Cricetulus griseus: one gene and its partners. The protein of the gene in region 2 purifies or fractionates together with the protein of the main gene of each other region. This does not show direct contact. Links are inferred from orthologs where the notes say so. Each region holds a gene or a part of one and is shown on either strand. Other genes may lie near its edges.

What was found.
Region 1: the proteins of Coprs (region 2) and Wdr77 purify together in Homo sapiens (affinity purification with mass spectrometry; 3 studies listed by BioGRID and IntAct, with this or other methods). This does not show direct contact. The link is inferred for Cricetulus griseus from reciprocal best matches to the Homo sapiens genes COPRS and WDR77.
Region 3: the proteins of Coprs (region 2) and Hnrnph1 purify together in Homo sapiens (co-immunoprecipitation; 3 studies listed by BioGRID and IntAct, with this or other methods). This does not show direct contact. The link is inferred for Cricetulus griseus from reciprocal best matches to the Homo sapiens genes COPRS and HNRNPH1.

Annotation. Positions count from the first base shown.
Region 1 is NW_023276806.1:51,042,212-51,046,206, reverse strand, and holds the end of Wdr77 (methylosome protein 50), read left to right. Parts: coding exon 1-21; intron 22-497; coding exon 498-569; intron 570-1,203; coding exon 1,204-1,312; intron 1,313-1,834; coding exon 1,835-1,903; exon of another isoform or gene 1,904-1,963; intron 1,964-2,058; exon of another isoform or gene 2,059-2,195; intron 2,196-2,613; coding exon 2,614-2,773; 3' UTR 2,774-3,364; downstream 3,365-3,995. UniProt on the Homo sapiens protein: Non-catalytic component of the methylosome complex, composed of PRMT5, WDR77 and CLNS1A, which modifies specific arginines to dimethylarginines in several spliceosomal Sm proteins and histones.
Region 2 is NW_023276807.1:66,985,088-66,990,086, reverse strand, and holds the start of Coprs (coordinator of PRMT5 and differentiation stimulator), read right to left. Parts: upstream 3,194-4,999; 5' UTR 3,111-3,193; coding exon 3,042-3,110; intron 61-3,041; coding exon 1-60. UniProt on the Homo sapiens protein: Histone-binding protein required for histone H4 methyltransferase activity of PRMT5.
Region 3 is NC_048600.1:64,840,490-64,844,690, forward strand, and holds the end of Hnrnph1 (heterogeneous nuclear ribonucleoprotein H), read left to right. Parts: intron 1-55; coding exon 56-189; intron 190-299; coding exon 300-435; intron 436-736; coding exon 737-796; coding exon of another isoform or gene 797-826; intron 827-887; coding exon 888-977; intron 978-1,681; coding exon 1,682-1,774; intron 1,775-2,179; coding exon of another isoform or gene 2,180-2,229; intron 2,230-2,817; coding exon 2,818-2,936; 3' UTR 2,937-3,570; downstream 3,571-4,201. UniProt on the Homo sapiens protein: This protein is a component of the heterogeneous nuclear ribonucleoprotein (hnRNP) complexes which provide the substrate for the processing events that pre-mRNAs undergo before becoming functional, translatable mRNAs in the cytoplasm.

The DNA of each region.
Region 1 (3,995 bases), on a different chromosome or scaffold from region 2:
CTAAGCCAGCATCACAGATGGGTGAGTCTGAGACCAATGGTGAGGAGAACATGGCAATAGGAAGCCAGTTGGAAGAGGCTGTCTTTGCCCAGAGTCAGAGCAGAGTTGCCAGATGCCCACCCTCTGTGACGTCATTTTCTGTCTCACTGAGGCTCTGCTCACCATAGTGCAATGAGTACCAAGGGGAAGGGCTAGCTTCCAGGTGGGTGGTTACTCTGCAGAGAGAGACAAAAGGACTAGGGTTATTATTGTTGTGCTTTAAATGTATACCCCCAAATGACAGGAGACTGAATAGATGTAGGTCATGAGGCTCAGGGATGACGACATGCTTGATTGCCCAGGTCATGAGGCTCAGGGATGACGACATGCTTGATTGCCATAGCAGCATTTAAGAAACCCAGTCAAAGTGTTCCCAGGACTTTGTGACTTCTCTTGAAGAACTGCTTCTTGTAGGTTGTGGCTGCTTTTGTTCCAAACCTCCCTTTTGTCCTTTCCAGGCTGCAATGCTTCTGGCTACCTTCCTACCTCCCTGGCTTGGCATCCTCAGCAGAGTGATGTCTTTGTCTTTGGTAAGGCAGCATGACATATGGACTCTGAGAACGGGAGGATGGGAAAGCGCTACCTTCGAGGTGTACACACTCTTGTCAACACACTTCAGCACTACATGAATTAGAGCAGTTTTGTTTAGCTTTGGGGGACATAATTTTTTCCTAGTAGATTGGATTCCTCATGGATCCAGCTCCCTTATTCTCGGCATGATTAGAAATCATTGGGCCACTTAGCAAGCAGCTTTGCTGTTTAGGGAATTATGTGGGTATGACTGCATATGGTAACAGCTTGTAGTTAAAGTAATAAGTATCCAGTAATTGTCACAGCACACAGTAACTTGCTTATCCTACCTTACAAAAGGAAACTGGTGCTCTGGGTGGTGAACTTGTCCATATCTCGAGGAACTAAGATTCATGCAAATCCAGGACTGGCATATCAAAGCCTAAGGTTTTTGTTGTTCTTTTCTCTCCTAAGACAGGGTCTTTCTATGTAGCTCTGGCTGTTCTAGAGCTTATTATTTAAATCAGGCTGGCCTTGAACTCAGATAGATCCTCCTGCCTCTGCCTCCTGCATGCTAGTATTAAAGGCGTGCTTGACTGTGGACAGCCTGAAGTGTATGTTCTTAACCATGGTAACATGCTGTTTCTTCAACAGGTGATGAGAATGGATCTGTCTCTCTTGTGGACACCAAGAATGCAAGCAGTACCCTCAGCTCAGCTGTGCACTCCCAGTGTGTCACTAGGCTGGTATTCTCTCCACACAGGTACTGTTTGTCATCAGGGGTTTGGAAGGGATGGGTTGGGCCAGTGGTGAGGGGTAGGAATGGAGTGATAAGGAATGTATCTATTGGCACAGCATTAGCTGGTTACATTGTTCCTTAGATGGAACAATGTAAGTACTCGAGCTTGGTCTTCCTAAGCTAGTCAGTACAGTTCTTATTAGGGTTGCATAGTCTAAAAACAGCTGAAATGTGATCTCATACCTGTTCAACACAGCTTGATTGATGTTAGGCTTCTGGCACCATGTGCTTAAGGAGCCTGATTCTGGGTAATTGCTAATGTAGAGAGGGACCCATTGGGTAGTTGGTTACCAGGGTGGTTTCTATGAGTACTGTCTCTGTTCCATTTTTATTGGAATTATAATGGCAGGAAGACCTTAACCCAAAGGTGGGTATCAGGCTGCCTTTTCCCCTGGCTCAGTTTATGGTGAGTTTGGGGCTGGTGCAGTCAGATTTTGGTTATGGAATCTAGGCTTTATCTTCTCTCCCCTTTGTTCCCTCTCCTAGTGCTCCCTTTCTGGCCTCTCTCAGTGAAGACTGCTCAATTGCTGTGCTGGATTCAAGCCTTTCTGAGGTGTAAGTTTGAAGTAGAACCCTGTGGTTAGGAATCAGGCATCAAGACCAATGGGCAAGCAGGTCTGTTTTGTCTTCAGGAACTTGCATGTAGAATTCTTCCTTTGTTGGGACTGGAGAAAAGCTCAGTAGTTAAGAATACTTCCTTTTGTTCCCAGCTTCCACATCCGTCTGCTCCCAGCTGTCTGTCACTCCAGATCGAAGGCATGTGATGCCTCTGCTTCTGTGGGCCTCTGCACTTGGGTGCACATACCCACTTACACATTATTAGAAATAAATAGAAGAAAATTCTCCATCTTTGTCTGTAGAGGTTCTCTCCATTTGTGTCTGTGTGTCTGCAGAGACTGAACACTGGAAGCAGTCTGATTGTAGGCTAAGTCTAGCTAGCATCCCAGCTTCACGGAGGGAACCCCTGCTGTGAAGTGAAACCTGCTATAGAGAGAAAGGCATGGGAAGGAAGACCCCGGTGTACATCTCTCTCTGCTATGACTTCCTGCTTGGTTGTAGATATACTACTTCTTTGCTCTGCATACTATTTCTTCCCCTAGGAAAGTAGACTGGATTGGATTGAACATCCACTGTCCTGGTGATAAGCTGTACAAATGGTGAAATGTTTAAAAACAATGTGTCCTGATTATGTTAGGTTTTCTTTCTGTCTTCTTCCCACCTCGGTTTTTGTGTTATCTCTTACCACACACCCACTTTTGTTCCAGGTTTAGAAGTCGAGCCCACAGAGACTTCGTGAGAGATGCTACGTGGTCTCCACTTAACCACTCCCTCCTTACCACAGTTGGCTGGGACCATCAAGTCATCCACCATGTTGTGCCCATTGAGCCTCTCCCAGCCCCTGGACCTGAGAATGCCTCAGAGTAGAATGGATTTCAGAAAAAAAAAAAAAAAATAGCCCTCCACCTGCAAGAATCTGCTTGCCTCTGCCTCCGTATTGTGAGAGCACAGGAAGGAGCCTTGTAGAGCATGTTACTCCCTAGTCCCGTGCAATAAACAGGCAGACTCTCAGCCTGAGGGAGGCTGCAGCCCATAGTGTCTAGGAGGGAAAACTTCCTTTATATAAATGGGTATATGTGTTCGAGAGAGCACATGTGTGTGAGTGTATTAAGTAGTTTGGGGTGGGGAAAATTATTCTTCAGCTTTCCCAAAGCACTGCTCTTTATTTCCCACAAAGTGAGAACAGTTTTATGCTTCCCAAGTCCAAGAATTGGATATGTTGTCTGGGATATGGAATGTGAGTATCCCTAGATTTGTGGGAGTGGTTCCACCACTCAGAGATGGGGTAACTTATTTTTATATAGAGTTTAATTCATTATGGGGAATACTTCAGTCCATAAAAGTCCAGCACAGTATACCTTGAGAAGACACAGAAATACCACAGTTTTGTACAAATCCATGTTAAACTGAATTTTCAGATCCATTTTCTTGGTGAATAAATTTGGCTGTTGCAATGTAGTTCTTGCTCACCCTTTGCCCTCCTCTGTGTTGTATGAGAGAGATGAGTGTTTTCCTGTCCTAGATTTCATAGAAAGTTTTAGGGATGATTGAACATTTAAAGGGGTTTCAGTGAAGTCAGAAAACTGACAGGGTTTCTTACAGAGAAATCTTTGTCATTTTTCCCACCTAAAGATACCCTGAGACCTGATTGCCTCTGGGCACCTTCCTCTGGAGATATGAAGTCTGAGTGCTGTATTTGTGAACTATTAAGATTTAAGATCCATCATTAGGGAAATTCTGAAATACTGAAATGTGAATTAAAGACTTGGGTCATGGCCTTTTCCCCCACCAAAGCTGTTGTTACTTTTTGTCTGCTTTACTTAGGTGAGTCACCAGGATGTTGTCAATTTTACTGCCGCTGTCTGTATTTTACCATTCCTGAAGTAGTTAGTTAAGGGAGAACTTAAACATTTATTTATACTTGGTGTTGGTGGTCTAGCCACTCCATTTAGAGTTCATGATAAATAACTGATTATATTGGAGCTGAGAGTGACTGGTGATAGATATACTTTGGAGTGTTTCAACTTTAGTTTAGGAGAAAGTAGGTAAGTGGGCCTCCTGAATTCTATATTTGCTAGTCATGAGGCTC
Region 2 (4,999 bases):
GTCCATGGCCATCTCAGTCTCTGTCTCCTGACCAGAAAGGTCAGCTGCGGCAAAGCTTGCCTGTGGAAGAAGAAATCATTACCAGAAACTCAGGCATCTGGGACATGTCACCACCTTGACGCTCTGAGCCCACCATCCCACCATCCCACAGTGCCCTTCACACTTCGGGGCTTGCACCTGCTGGCTAGAGATAGCGGGGTCGTAGGCATCACCCCAACAACACTTCTCCACCCAGACCACTGAGAATGCCTTCTTGCAGTGGCCAACTGACAGCTGCAGGTTTTGATCTCATCTAGGGCCCTCTTCAGAAGTCTGGGTACCAGGGCCTCTCCATGATCAGAGACCCTAGAGCCAATCTGGACAGCTCCTGGGTCTCAGGGTTTGTAATTCCAGGTCTGTCTATAAACCCTTTCCTCTATCATTTTAACAGCTCTAACCATTCCTTTTTCTTGGCCAGGATTGGTAGCTGTTTCCTGCACCTGCCACTTCTCTGCACACCTTCCCCTTTTCAGTTACTTGGCCTCATATCTAACAGCTCCTTTTTTACATTTTATGTTCACTGGTGTTTGCCTGCATGTATGTCTGTGTGAGGATGCTGGATCCTCTGGAACTGGAGTCAAAAAGACAGCTGTGAGCTACCAGGTGGGTGCTGGGAAGAGCAGCCAGCACTCCCAACCACTGATCCATCTCTCCAGCCCCTAACAATTCCTTTTTAACAGTGTCTCCCAAGTGGTACGTGGGGAACCAGAGTTTTAGTTCCTAAACAGTGAAAGGAACACTTATATCCCCACTGCCAACCAAGTAATTTTATGCCCCATTACTTCAAAAGTCCCCCAGACTTTATTGTCCTCAATATCTCTCTCCAATGGAACCAGTTAATGTCTACAGCTTGAGTCATTAGGCCAGATTTCAACGAGCCCTGTCATGCGCTCAGGGTGTGACCCCTGGAAACTGGAGGTGGTTGTTCTGACCTTGCAGAGGTCCTATGTTGACAGAACAATTATGAAAACACCTAATACAGGCTGGAGATGTAGCTCAGTTGGTAGTGTTTGCTTAGTATGCTCAGTGTCCCAGGCTGATTTTCCAGCACTACATAAGAGCAAGCATGATGTCACATACTCGTAATCTCTGCATTTGGGAAGTGGGGGCAGGAGGATCAGAAGTTCAAGGTCCTTGGTCACAGAGTGAGCTCCTGGGCTACAAGAGACCCTGTCTCCAAAACTACAATTAAAGGCAACAACAATAACAAAACCGCTGGGCGCTGGTGGCGCACGCCTTTTAATCCCAGCACTCAAGAGGCAGAGACAGGCGGATCTCTGTGAGTTCAAGGCCAGCCTGGTCTCCAAAGCGAGTGCCAGGATGGGTTCCAAAGCTACACAGAGAAATCCTGTCTTGAAAAACCAAAAAAATTAAAAAAAAAAAAAAACGGGGAGGGGGCTATGAGAATGAGAAGGGAAGAAGAGGAAGGATGCAGAGGTCATGAGGGAGCAGAAAGGTTGAATCAGGTCAAGAAGAAAGGGTATGTGATAGGTAGGGTTTTAGTTGGGGGCGGTGGTAGGGAAGGGAGGGAGGGAGAAGGGAACTGGGATTGTCATGTAAATCAATCTTGTTTCTAATTCAAACAAAAAATGATTAAAAACAATAACAAAACCACCTGTTAGACTGCAGAAGTAATGTTTCTCTGACTTAAATTCATTTTATTTTTTAAAGTTTTTATGTATTTATATATTTACATCTATTTGCTTGTGTGTGAATGTACGAAGAGGAGGAGGTGTTGGATCCCTTGGAGAGGGAATTGCAGGTGGCTCTGAGCCACCTATGGTGGTTGCTGGGAACCAAACCAAACTCTGTGACACCATCACCATACTAGCTCTCCAATCTTACACAAACTTTTCATCATATACCTGTACTTAGCACACACCTTAGTTAACATTCATTATCCAGTCATGACTGGATTTTTAATGATTCAATTCCACCTCCTGTGGTCAGTGATAACCCGTAGCCACAACTCACTGCTGTCCCCCAAGGTGTTGGAGCAAATGGGTGCAATACAGCCTTTTCCTATGACCCCAGAGCTTGGGCCCTAGAGCAGGCCTTTTACCGGAAGAGGTCTATGTTCAAGCAAGTCGGTGAACGTGAGAGGCAACATTACTCTATTTCTGACCTCCAGGCCTTTGGTGGGGCTCTGCCTTCTCTAACAAAATTAGTGCCCTCCTCTTCTGTAAAACTAATATTCTTTGCGAATCTATTGCTACCGTTGCTGCAAGTACCATCTTGGATGCTCAAGCAAGCATTCCATTCATGCACCCAATTAGCATACACATTGTGTCAGGCACATGGTGTGTCTTCTGGTAAACAGGACGCCTATTTACAGTCAAGCTTGTTGTAGATGGAGATGGTCGCTGCTTAAGGGCAGGTCATAGGAAACCGCTGTATTGCACCCACTTGAAAAAGAAGTTTCTGGAAACCCCGTGTCACCAGGGGCCTTTCCGTTTCATCAAATGGGAAAAAGAACCGGTGACATCTAACGTCCAAGGTCAGCTGCACATCCCCACCAACGGCCGGAGGTCCTCAAGGTTAAAAAAAAAAAAAAAAAAAGTCCTAGCCGGGCGTTGGTGGCACACGCCTCTAATCCCTGCACTCGGGAGGCAGAGGCAGGCGGATCTTTGTGAGTTCGAGGCCAGCCTGGTCTCCAGAGCGAGTGCCAGGATAGACTCCAAAGCTACAGTGAAACCCTGTCTCGGAAAAAAAAAAAAAAGTCCGTTTCCTCGTCGCTCCCATCTGACCCGGCCCCCAGCTCCACCTTCCCTCCATTCCTGCCACAGAGGCTCCCGAGCAGCCCCAGTTTCCCTCTTTCTCCTTCCAGTGCCTGCTACAACCCCAGGTCCCCGCGCGCTCCCGCCGTTACGGCCCGGCTCTGCGCGTGCTCGCGGGGGGGGGCGGCGTTTCCCGAGTGAGCGGCCTTCCCGAAGCGCGCGAGCCCCGCGGCTTCCAGCCCGGGGGATCGCATGGGCCCGCGCTCCCCACCCCGTGGCGCTTACCTCCGCGTTGGGGACCTGCCGCGCACTTGGCTCGCCGGACCCCTGACCGGTGGCCTCCTGAGGGTCCATGCCCCGCCGCCCACAGCTAGGCGACCGGGGACACTCCGGCACGTGACGGCCCACAAGCTGCAGAGGGGCCAATCGGCGCGGAGCAGCCACCGAGGGGGCGGGGCGGCGCAGGGGCAGCGGTGCCGGACGACACGCCCACCTGCATCGTGCCGGGACCACAGGCTCCCGAGCTCATTCTGACATCTCTGGTTTAGAGCCTTATGGCGGCGGACTGGGCACTGTGCCTTCCCCATCGCACTATTAAATGACCAGAGTCCACCCGAAAGCTTAGAAAGCCCAGACGTCGACACGGTCAGAGCCGCTGCTGCTCCATCACTTTTCACTCCACCCCATCGCAGGCTGTTCCAGATTTCAGGCTGCACCAGGACCACAGCATCCAATAATGAGTAAAATAACTCAGCAGCCTGGAGACTTGTCAGCTTGGCATACTGATCGCTTTTGAAGTCAACGTGCTCCCCAGAAACATTCTGGGTTTGTGTTATTGAACTTGGAAGTCACAACCTGTGCCCCAAGTAAGTAATGTGACTACGTTGGATAACTCTCCATTTTCTTCTTCCCACGATTAGTTTGGCTGTTTTTAATGGCTTATTGAGGATGGATACCTGAACCTGACTTGGGGCTCAGATTGTGACCCCCGAGTTCAGTAACAGTTGGGCAGCAGAAATTGACCAAATCTCCATCTTTCAATGGGCAATGTCTCCAATCTGGTTATTTCCCTGTTGCCTCGGAGACAAAAGTCAGCAGCTAGCTGCAGGTAGAGTGTACATGTGTGTATGTATGTTTGGATGGATGCATGGATTTGAATGACCCAGCTGTACAGACAGCTTTTACTGCCACCCTCCCCAGCATGACTTAAACTCTAGCAACAAACTACTTGAAGGCATGGTTATCAGGAAAGCTGGGATTCCTTATGACATTGTTTGGAACACCAGCATCTTCATCTCCCTTAAATAGTATGTTGCCATAAGGCATTAAACATCTTTTTTTGTTTGTTTTGTTTCTCTGTAGCTTTGTAGCCTATCCTGGCACTCGCTCTGGAGACCAGGCTGACCTCGAACTCACAAAGATCCGCATGCCTCTGCCTCCCGAGTGCTGGGATTAAAGGCGTGCACCACCAACGCCCGGCTAAACATCTTTTTTATGCAGATAAAATTGATTCATATTATGTTATTCTTTTTTCTTTACATAGTCTTTACATAGTACGGAGTATGACCAGTTCATGTGTGTTCTGTTCCGTTGTTATTTCTTCAAATCTAACAGACTCCAAGTCAGCACTGCCCAGGGACTCTTCTTCAATGGCAGAAATAAAAGCTCTTGATCTGTGCTGTCACTATGGTAACCACGTGTTTACCTAGCATTTAAAATATCGTCAATATGAAAAGAAACACAATTATTTAATTTCAGATATAAATTGGTAAATGTGGCCATCACAACTAACTACAACTCTATGAATTGATTATGCATATTTTATAATATGCAATGGGGAGAACTGTATATAGCAATACAATAACCCAAGGGTGGCCAGAGGTCACAATAGGGTGTCTCTCTTAGTCACCATTCTATTGCTGTGAAGAGACACCATGGCCAAGGCAACTCTTACAAAAGAAAGCATTTAATTTGCTTACAGTTTCAGAGGTTCAGTCCCTTACCGTCATGGCAGGAAGCAGGGCAACAGGCATAAAAAGCACGGTGCTGGAGAAGCAGTTGAGAGCGGCCTTCTGATCTGCAAGCAGAAAGGTATACTGGGCCTGGCACCAGCTTTTGAAACCTCAAAGCCCACCCCTAGTGACACACCTCCATCAACAAGGCCACACCTCCTAACCTTTCTAATCCTATCAGAGTTCCCCTTCTTAGTGACTAAGCATTCAAATATGTGATCCTAAGGGGAA
Region 3 (4,201 bases), on a different chromosome or scaffold from region 2:
TAAGGTAAGAATTGAATTTCTCAATTCAAGGGTACTTACACACTTGTCCATCTAGACCTCAATTATTGTTTTTCAGGAATGTCTGACCACAGATACGGGGATGGTGGATCTACTTTCCAGAGTACAACGGGACACTGTGTACACATGCGGGGATTACCATACAGAGCTACTGAGAATGACATTTATAATGTAAGTTTTCAGAAAATCACTTTAGGTATTTACAGCAGTAAAAATGTGGGGTGACCACAATAAAATTTAGATTTAAAAGTTAACTTTTTTTGAAATAATTTGTATTTTAGTTTTTTTCACCACTCAACCCTGTGAGAGTACATATTGAGATTGGACCCGATGGCAGAGTAACTGGTGAAGCAGATGTCGAGTTTGCAACCCATGAAGATGCTGTTGCAGCTATGTCAAAAGACAAAGCAAATATGCGTAAGTGTAATTAAAGTGCTTGTAACCTCAGGTAGTTAATTGACAAGCATTTAGAGTAGAGGAATAGAATAGTAAGGATATATAGGAGAGATTTCATTAGTTGGGTAGCTTGGATGTATTGACATTTTGGGATTTGTAAATTTTTCCTTAATTGATAGTGTTTTAAAAGCTAGTTCTTAAGTTCTAACATGGGAGTTTTCTTTTTCTTTTCACCAAAACATTTGTGATTCACAAGTTACTTTTAAATTGCTTGTTTTCTTTTACCAACAAACATTTTCAAACTTTTTTTTTCTCATTTCAGAACACAGATATGTAGAACTCTTCTTGAATTCTACAGCAGGAGCAAGCGGTGGTGCTTACGGTAGCCAAATGCTAGGAGGCATGGGTTTGTGTAAATATCACTTTAGTGTCTTTTTTTAAGCTAACCTTGTATGCCTTTTCTCTCATTTCAGAACACAGATATGTAGAACTCTTCTTGAATTCTACAGCAGGAGCAAGCGGTGGTGCTTATGGTAGCCAAATGATGGGAGGCATGGGCTTGTGTAAATATCGTTAGTTTTTTTAAAAACCAAAACATTTATATCTGTATAAGTAGTTAATAAGCTAAGTTAATATTATAATTAGCATAAGAGTTTGTTACCATAATAATTTTAAGCTACAATAAAAATATTAAGTTAGCAAACAAATTCAGGCAAAGTAAATTTTGTAATTACTATATTAAATTACTAAAATCTTGTAAATAACATAAACCTGCTTAGGATAGCTTACTTAAAGTAGATACAAGTACTTTTGTTTGGGGGAGGGGACTATTGATTGTGTTATAGTATCTGTCTATAAAGTGTAAGTTTAAAATACTTAACAAACATAAGGTTTAAAATTTTTATTTGGTAACATAATTACTTGGGCATAATTAACTAGGTGTTCATTGATACCTGTATAATATCTAAATATATATCAAGCTAAGGGGGAAACCCCACTAAAGTTTCATAAGATGATCAAAAAATGCCTCTACTTAGTGAATCATGTGTACTTAGTCCTCAACCCTTTGGTTTATAAACACTGAGCTAGCTAAAATGATGAATATAAAGGTTAATATGGTCATAGACAGTCTTGTCATAGACAGTAGGCAGGAGACAGTAATTTAAGATCAAGACTGGAAAATCGTAGACATAGAATTACAAGCCCGGTACCACCAGGTACCACATTGGATAAGGAGCAAAGCTCTAATGTTCTCTTAACTTAACAGCAAACCAGTCCAGTTACGGTGGCCCAGCCAGCCAGCAACTGAGTGGTGGTTATGGAGGTGGCTACGGTGGCCAGAGCAGCATGAGTGGATATGGTAAGTTTTTTTTTATATACCTAGAGTAAGTTTTAGGTTGGTTTGTCTAGTTGGGCTCCTTTTGAAAAGAGGAGGGGTATTAATATGGTTTTTATTACAATTCTTATTAGTATAATTTACAGAAAGTCATTGGGAGGAGGGGGATGTATCCTAGTAATTGCAATTTTGGAATATTGTCAAGGCAGAAAACATCTCTGTTCGTTTATTAAAATAATTAGCTTGCTTTTCTGTTGTAGCATTAAATTTTTTGGAGGGTAATTTTTAAATATTAGGCTGGTGGTTGGGTTCAGGACAGTATTTTACTAGTCGGTTAACCTAGGGATGGTTTTATTTATTTTTTTTTCAATTGGTCTAAAGAATGGTGATTTTGGTATTATAGTCTTACCCTACAAAATCCTTTTGCAGACCAAGTTTTACAGGAAAACTCCAGTGATTTTCAATCAAACATTGCATAGGTAAATATTTTCTCAAAAAATAATTTAAATTCCCAATAGCAAAGACTGATAATGTTGTGATAACACTTTTCTATAGCAGTCAGTGACTCTGACTTAACTCCCTGGAGGCTGCCATTTTGGGCACAGTGAGTTGCCTTTAGTCCAACTTTTGTCCTCTCACTTCTTGCCCACCATGAATAGGCAAAGCAAAAGACTTCCCCTGTGTTCCCTATTCATACACATCATTCGATGAACACATAGTACATGTTTATGGTAAATTTTTAAATGCTTTGTTTAGCTTTAAAAACTTGGAAGTAATTTTGCAATTTTTGAAAAACACTAGTTTTCCTTTAAACTTAAAATTTCCACGTTGATCCTGAAGAATCCACTTAAAATGGTAGCACAAGAGTCTGGCAAGTTGGTACTGCAGAGAAAAGGGTTTAATTGAAATTTGTTTGGAGTCGGGATTCCCTTTTCCCAACATGCTTCTCGCCAATTGGACAGCAGCCATTTGCACTCGTATACCTTTTAAACTTTTTCTTGGAATGTTATTTTATTTGATTGGTTATTTGACACTATTCCTAACTTGTCAAACTGATCTCTTTGCAGGTAGCCAAGGAGCAGTGAACAGCAGCTACTACAATAGCGGAAGCCGTGCATCTATGGGCGTGAATGGAATGGGAGGGATGTCTAGCATGTCCAGTATGAGTGGTGGATGGGGAATGTAATTGATTTTGATTGATCACTGACTCTTGGTCATTTTTTTTTTTAATGGAAAAAAAAAAACCTTCAGTTTAACAGTTTTGCAATCCAGCCTTGTGATTTATGTCTACTCTCTTAAGTGAACATTGGCATCACTCAAAGGACTAAGGTTCAATGTTGAATATAGTCACCTAGGATGATGATACAGTGAACTATAACTGTTAAACAATTCCCAGCTTTTCTCTAGTTACTGTAGGATGTGTGTAAGCAGTAAGCGTATTTAGGTTAAAGCAGTTGAATTATGTTAAATGTTGCTCTTATACATACATTACATTGAACACTGTTGATGCATGTTGAAAAGACATGCTTTTTTGTAAAACTCTATAGGAGCTGCGTCTACAATTAAAAGTGAAACATTTGGCATGTTTGTTCTAATTTCATTTGATAAACCTGTAAGGCACGTGAGTTTAAAGCTTTTCTCTTTTTTTTTAAGTTGATGGAGAAATTTTGAGACGCAATACCATTACTTTAGGATTTTTGGTCTTGGTGTTTGTATGAAATTCTGAGGCCTTGATTTAAGTCTTTCATTGTATTGTGATTTCCTTTTAGGTGTATTGCGCTAAGTGAACCTTGTCAAATAAATCTTCCTTTTAAAAGCTACACCTTGTCGTATCTGTGCTTCAGTGTCATGTGATCTTTCTTTGGTGCTTTATTCCTACCTGGGGTCATATTCCATGTCTCTGACTATGATAGAAAGGCTGGGCTACATAGAGAAACTGTGTGTGTTTTGAGACAGGGTCTCTAACTGCCCTGGTTGTCCTGGAACTCCATAGACCAGGCTGGCCTCAACTCAGATCCTCCTGCTCTGCCTCCCTGGTGCTGGGATTAAAGGTGTATATCAACACCACCCTGGGAGAAAAACCTCGAAAAATAAAAACAGAACCAAACAGAAAACCCAATAACTTGGAGACAAGGTCTTACTGTGTAGCCTTGGCTGGTAGAAGTAAAAATTCCTACAAGTAGCCTCTGAACTTCATTTGTAAGATGGTATATCCATATAGACAACAAAAATGAACCTTAAAAAAGTTTAATGCTGGACATGGTGGCACATGCCTTTAATCCAAGCACTAGGAAGGCAGAGCACTAGGTAGGAAAGAGATCCTCTGACCTCCAAAGTAATGCTGTGGCTTTACTGACTAGTCTGCCACGCTCTGGCTCTGCACATTATATGCTTAAATGTTCCTCTGTTCAGGCTGGAATTTGGTGTCAAAACTTGATGATAGCAGCTAAG